2 linked regions of the Rattus norvegicus genome follow. The protein of the gene in region 2 binds, or shares a complex with, the protein of the main gene of each other region. Links are inferred from orthologs where the notes say so. Each region holds a gene or a part of one and is shown on either strand. Other genes may lie near its edges.

The links. Proteins that work in one complex are often made in the same cells at the same time.
Region 1: the proteins of Wdpcp (region 2) and Intu are in contact, whole or in part, in a cryo-EM structure (PDB 7Q3E), measured with the Mus musculus proteins. The link is inferred for Rattus norvegicus from reciprocal best matches to the Homo sapiens genes WDPCP and INTU. Residues at the interface, in NP_663400.2 of Mus musculus: Phe3, Cys4, Leu5, Ile24, Leu51, Ser54, Arg55, Asp56, Lys93, Leu385, Ala386, Glu387, Asp388, Tyr389, Ile427, Lys446, Leu447, Gly448, Ile449, Leu450, Thr451, Arg452, Gly453, Leu455, Leu462, Gln463, Ile465, His466, Tyr467, Gln487; in NP_780724.3 of Mus musculus: Val481, Gln484, Val488, Asp491, Ser495, Asp496, Glu498, Ala499, Ala500, Asp501, Ser506, Glu507, Asp508, Arg513, Arg514, Thr517, Ser532, His533, Leu534, Pro535, His574, Tyr593, Glu610, Gly613, Cys614, Ala615, Ser616, Lys617, Ser653, Pro654.

What each region holds. Positions count from the first base shown.
Region 1 is NC_086020.1:125,596,767-125,600,287, reverse strand, and holds part of Intu (protein inturned), read right to left. Parts: coding exon 3,498-3,521; intron 2,554-3,497; coding exon 2,332-2,553; intron 1,668-2,331; coding exon 1,197-1,667; intron 128-1,196; coding exon 30-127; intron 1-29. UniProt on the Homo sapiens protein: Plays a key role in ciliogenesis and embryonic development.
Region 2 is NC_086032.1:100,001,040-100,004,560, reverse strand, and holds part of Wdpcp (WD repeat-containing and planar cell polarity effector protein fritz homolog), read right to left. Parts: intron 2,307-3,521; coding exon 2,173-2,306; intron 1-2,172. UniProt on the Homo sapiens protein: Probable effector of the planar cell polarity signaling pathway which regulates the septin cytoskeleton in both ciliogenesis and collective cell movements.

The DNA of each region.
Region 1 (3,521 bases), on a different chromosome or scaffold from region 2:
AGTGAAAAGGCATGCTAGAAGTTTCTTACTTCATCATGTTATAGACTTCCAATTCTTTTTCTGAAAGTTCTTTTTTCGAAGTTCCCAAATGAAACGGATTTGGAAGTGTTGACTTCTTTCTAGCAAGCTGGAAGATAAGTATGTTAGTTTTTATCTAAGAACAGGATCACACAGTAGTAATGATTCAAAACCTAAGAGCACTATTTTTGTGCCGCTCCCTTTAAATATTTTCCATACTAATCTACATCTCTTACTCTTTGTTAAGAAGGTTTCCAAGGTGAAGTCACAGAAAACTCCCCACCAGGTCCATCACTGAATGTATACATGTGTGCTTGTCTCTCTCGCTGCTGTCTGAACTCCTCAAGGTCACACAGGTCTGAGGTCTTATTCATGGCAGCTGAGTAGAGCTTGGCTATACATAAATTATCCAAATTGTCTTGATCTCTCTTTCCTACAAAGTTTATCAAATGAGGTAACAGTCTATAGCTAGGATGCAAAACATGCATGGAACAAACATATTGTGTTCTGGCTTCAACAGCATCACTGTATGGGAGCAGGGGAAACTATGCTTGCAAATGTCACAGCACTCAGAAGCACTGTAGCCCAGTCAGAATCGGCCTGGCATCACCTCCCTCCTCCTGATGGCAAGTTTCAAAACTGTGGAGAGACATCAATTTCCCAGAGTAAGTGCGAAGCTCCCAAGGGTGGGGTGGACTTTGTCAACTGTGGACATATCTCTAGTGTGTGTAGGGAAAGTCATGGGATGTCAACCTCAAGGATGAGCATTCTCTGCTTTAATGTTTGTGACATTCATAAATGCAGATCAAGAACCTTAGCTTATTACAAATAGGCACCTCCTCTTCCCCATTCTGATCATCTGTTTCTGTTAAATGTTTTACTGGCTATTAAGACTGACACTGAGACTGCCCCAAGCCAGGACGCTGTCACCCTTATCAACGCAGAAGAAAGGTCAATGTATGTCAATGTATGTGGGGAAGCACTGGGGAAAAAATGTTCTAGTGCCGCAGGCTTATGTCTTGGCCCTGGATATTTCTTTCTCTTTTCAATTCTGTTTTTTTATTTTTTCATTAATCACTAAAACACACCACTTCAAATAAGGAACACTCTCCCAATTAAAAACAATTCTCTAACAATTAGTTATTGCTCACAATGCAAACATTCGAATGGACACACACCTTAAGCAAGGCCACATTGTCGTCTGAACCTTCAGATTCTCTTTGCTTCCGTACAGTGTCTGGGGTAGTGTGTGGGCTCAGACCAACATTTTCTTCCCCTTCACCAGGTTCACGTCCTCCACCAATCCGTGAGGGGCTGGGCTTCCGTGCCTTGAATGAATAGTCACTGAAAAAGGTTCTTCTGCATGTTGGAGAGGCTGCTGTTTTGGAAGGCCCCTGCAGCCTACCGAGGATAGGCGAAGTGGTCAAACTATCTGCCTTTTCGCGTGGTGCAGCAAGGAACCAGTCAGCACAGGACAAGCAGGGCCCCGGGGTTGCAGCTAGCTGTTCCTCTATGCGGGACTCCACTCCTTCCAGCTGGTGAAGGGTTGCTCTGGCCTGATCGACATAGATGCAATCTGGACCAGGGTTCCCAGTAGCTTTAGATGCACAGCCTCCAGCTTCTAACAGCACACACAACATGTAATGTCGCTGTAGAGGAAGATTGGTACATGTTCAATTGGAGATATTTAATATAGTCTGTATGTATATGCTTGTAAATACTAAAGACATATATAGGCATTTGCAAGTACTCAGTGAATTCTGAAAAATCTCTTCTTTCTCTTTTCACCATCATTCAAAGCTCCCTGAGCCACAATGGAAACAATCCTGCTTAGCTTGTTTTGGTCAAGCAACAGTGCACCATCAATCATTTCTCTTAGTCCAGAGACATCCCTAATACTACTTTCAAATAGCCTCCATTCTCACCACCCTCATTCAGACAGGGTTTACGTACAGCCCAGGCTGCCTCAAACTCACACTCACAATCCTCTTGCCTCAGCCTTCCAAGTGCTGGCATCACAGGGATCACTAACATGCCAGACTTGGCTCTGTATCATTTTATGAAAGGATAAAACCACTGTTTTAGGAAGGGAATGAAACATCGTCAAACTCTGCTAAAATCCTACACTGGAGTTCACTAATAATTCTTCATGACTATTAAACAGATACAGAAGGAAGAGAATAGAGAAGCATTTAACATTGTCTTGAATGTAAGCAAGTAACATATTCATACTGTAAGCAAGCCTGTTTGTGCTCTTTAAGCAAGTAGGTTTAGAAAACATAAAATGAATTCAAGAAAGAATACGTAACTCACCAACCCGACGATTAGTAAGAAATATCTCCCTTCTGGTTCCTGGAAGGCCTCAGGGTCTGAGTCTGTAGCGGGCTGGAGGTGGTGTTGTGGGAACACTTCTCTCCATATTATCAGCTGGCCAATCCTTTGCTGTGCTGCTAAAGGCAGCAGGCAGTACTGGCGACAGTACGCAGCGATCTCAACAACATCGTCCTTAGGCAGATGGCTGCACACCATATAACCCTGGGATTCAGTCACGAAGAGCCAAAGTCAGCTAGCAGCGTGCAGCAACGATCCCATATCTCGAAGACATGCATAAACTAATGCTTAAACCAGTGCAGTTTTAAAGGAACTAAGCAAGATTTGTCAGAAGTCCATGCTATTGATCTGAGCCAAGCTGCCGATCAAACTTGACAACTGAAGGGACTTAGAAGACACATTACTGCCCAAAACAAGATCACCTCAAGTAGCACTGATTATCTTGAATGTTTGGTTAAACTAGGGCTAGAAAGAGAAGCAGGGTCAAGGTCAGCACAGACATTCTTTTCTGTGTGCCTCCTGAATCATCTGACTCTGTTAAACATGTTACATATTGTTCTTAAAGATATTTTAAAGTGAAATACTTAACTGTCTTGATTCCTTTAATGGAAGTAGTAACTCAATGCTACATACACAAGATGCAATGTATTTCACTTCTGAAGAAGACAATAAAAAGAGCAGGAACACTATTGCAAAAGGAAGTTAACAAGATATTGCTGGAGACAGCTTAGTGTAAGCACTCGCCACCAAACCCAATGACACGAGTTTGATCCCAGGAGCCCCACACAGTAGAAGGAGAGAACAACTTGTCATGTTGTTGTTGGCCTTACGTATGCTCTGTGGCTCCCATGTAAACACACACTAAATAAATGTAATTTTTAAAATTCTGAAGAAAGGAACATACTGTTGTTCTGTCTTATATATCTTCTTCTTTTAGTACCTTTTCATGTTTGCACACTCGGAAATGCCTTAGCACACAGTAAAACAGGAATATTTACTGTATTTATAAATCTCTAAGGTCTTATTTCCAGATCACAGTATTGTCTGCAAGGTGGTAACATGTCTTCCATGCGTGTAAAAGTTGGAATCTACTTTAGGTCTATGTATATAGCAGTTGGATATTGAAAATATTTTAGGTTTCAACTTACCTTGTAAAACAGAGAAGACCCCAA
Region 2 (3,521 bases):
TGAATACACATCAAAAAGAACTAAAATCAAAGTAATTACCAGTGTTGTTCTCTCATGGTAAACATTTAACTCCTTGTGCTGTCCCTCAACTGTTAAACTGAATTAGATTTTTTAAATGTGGGCAGAAAAGCTTGTTAAAGGTCAACACTTTCAGGATATTTACCCTGAAATTCTTCTTGTCAAAATTATTTCAATGTGAAATAATTAAATTATGGTATAGCTGGAAAGAAAAGTCAGAATTATTAATACTCAATACATGTCCTTGCTGTAAAGTCCAAATGGGCACTGATAAAACACCGATGCACTGTATGCTTTGAAGTTTAAATACTTATAGTCAGGTCTTCGATGTGATCATTGTAATTTCTTCGTTTTTGAGAGAAAAACCATAATTGTTAAATACATAAAGAGAAGTGCACATTACATTAGGTGGACTCGCCATGACGTTGCCATGACATTGCTATGAGGGAATGTTGCAAATTCCTAGATGAAAAAGTCAAATTAAAAATGAGAGATTGGCATATTTAGTTTTGTAGAATGCAGATCAGTTGTTATTTGGTGATCACTAGTTATCACATGATTCAAACACTGAAGCGAGACATGAAATTCATGTGTCTCTTCAAGGAAACACGGGCACAGTGTACTGTGCAGCAGTGACACGCAGTGCCAGTCATTTGCCAAGTCCAAAGGTAGAAATAACGTATTAATTCCCCATCTAAGCAGCATAGGCCAAAGACGAGGCCTGTGCTTTACACTCTTTAAGACAGGCTGACACCCTGTCGGTTCCTGGGCTCACATTACCACACTCTTCAATCAAGAAGACACTGCCCACTAGTCATCACACCTCTAACAAAGGAACTGTCCTATGAGATCTTAAATAAAAAGGTAAAGAACACTTTAAAGTGCTTCGGCTAATGAATACTGATACATTTTAAAGATCAACATTAGGGAAAAAACATCATTTAAAAATCAACCTAGGGGTTGGGGATTTGGCTCAGTGGTAGAGCGCTTGCCTAGCAAGCGCAAGGCACTGGGTTTGGTCCCCAGCTCCGAAAAAAAAAAAGAAAAGAAAAAAAAAATCAACCTAAGTTAACTATTTAAGAAAAAACAGTGCTATAAGAATGTTAAAGGGAATCTTTAATTTTTTACTAAATATGCAAATGAATATCATAATTTAGCAGGTAGAGAAAATTATCATCATGCAAATTTTATAGAAGCTCCACAAATTGGGCATATAAACCAGATTATATTTTATTAGCACAGTGAAAAACTTATTTCAGGTGACTTTCCATGTTAAAACTCTTTCTTATAAGAACAGATATTTCTATTAAGCAAATTAAATCTATCCTATGCCACCATCAGCCCAATCATAATAAATAGAAAATCTAAAATTTGGAAAGTCAGGTACAAAAGTCAGCATCCAAGCGCACACACCAATTACAAGGCACAGGGCTGGCTTTGCCTTTGCTGCTGACGCCCGCCTGAGGACAGCATCCACGTGCATGGCTCCTGTATATATCAGCTCTATTCCCACTGAACAGTGAACTGTCTCAAATCCACGTCACAGAGGCTGGATCAATCTTGCAAACACAGGTCAGGGCTGAAAAGACGCCTTGAACTGAAACAGCCTGGAAAATGCATTAGATGCTCACCCTTGCAGAGAGGGGGCCTTACAGTCAGAATGTTATATGAAAAATTTAAGCACATCATTTAAAATAAAAATCCTGTCTTAGCAGATGTAAAGTCCGTGATACAGAGAACAAATTACCTGGCGTTAGCAGAGGAGAAAGACTGACACACCTCACAGAGATGTGTCCTCCAGTCACAGTTGGGGTGGGATGCAAGGCTCTTACCAGTACTTAACATATCTTCTATTAGTCTTTGAAAGACCTTCCTTCATTTCTCACTGTGGAATCCACAGCAGCTACATGGATATTCAGGGACTGAGAAGTGCAGTCTATAGGAGCATTAGGAAACAAGCCGACTTGACTCCATGAGCTTAAATATTAAATAGGCCATCGTTAGGCCTTCACCACAGGTGAGGTACAAAGGCACACTCAGGCTTCCTCAAACCCACAAATGCTCAAGAATAAAAACAGTGCCACGACCTGTGCCGTCCTCTGGAGTCGCTATCTATAATAGGTAGTAATATGGCTATAGACATTGAAAATCTACCTTATAATCCAAGGCTGAGAGCTTTTCCAACCTCTTGTTTACATCAAGAGAATCCATCTTCTTTGCAAATTGAATAAAACATAATTTGTTTTGTGCCAGAAATGATAAGATGATGAAACTGTCTGTAAGGAGAGCTAAAACAATGATTTAATGATTCCAAGTTAGAACAAAGTTATAACAAGTTAACACACTTATGTTAAATTATTATTAAAAGATGCTGTCAGAAAATAAATATTAATTAAAGTTACTAACATCTCCCAAGTATATTTGAATGATATTAAAAATATCAGAAATAACATAACCATCAACACGACCATGTACATTTGGTATCCCCCCCTTTTTTCAGTGACTATTTCCACATAAACTAACACTGGAGGATATCACCAAAGGAAACATTTGGGAACCAGAGCCAACACACATAAGAGAGGCTGGTGCTGTGGCTGATATTTAGTCCCACCAAGTGGAAGGCAAAGGCAGGCAAAGTCTGAGACTAGCTAGGGATATATAATATGAGCCTGTCTCAATAAAAAAGAGCATAAAAAGATACTTTTCTTTTTGTTTATGTACTGCTTCAACATTTAAAAAGCCATCTGAGAATAAACTGGATTGATACTAATCAGTGTTCTCTACCAAATTAAATTTTTTATTTAAAATTTTTCATCTGTAATCCCTCTTTTGAAGACTTACAAACTAAATGAAACAAAATATACTATACCTAAATGTGTATATTATATAAATTACTATCTAATAATGAATATCAACAAAATATTTCTGCAGTTTTATTACTAAAGAATTTAAGTGGGTAGATAATATCACGGGTCATATAAGAGCCACTGTTATGTGAATTGTTCCTAGGGAAAAAAGGAAAAAGAAAAAGAAACTACTTAACATCTTGTACACTTTTTCCACTCCACCTCTGGATGCACACGCAGTGCCCCACAGTGGAGGAGCTGGCGAGCTGCCAAGAACTGCATCGTTCGGTCCCCAGCTCCGAAAAAAAAGAACCAAAAAAAAAAAAAAAAAAAGAACTGCATCACTACCGTGTCTCATGAGAGTGCATTGTTTGGGCACATGTGAAAGAAACACATGAAGAGAGACAACTCAGACAGAAGGCTGTTGATGCTCCCTGTTCAGTCTACAGAACAACGTAAACATGAGACCTCATAGACACTGCTATGTGCAAAGCCAACGAAGGGCTCGTGATGAGCTGAGACCAGAACTCTCACGGCCTTCCCTTGGCACCACACTACACGCTGGAGGAAATACCGCGCCCACAGCCATCCCCCGCCTGTTCCTCTTAGTGCTGTTGCTAGTGATGACTGTCCTGTGACTTCTTTCTTAGAGCTCCG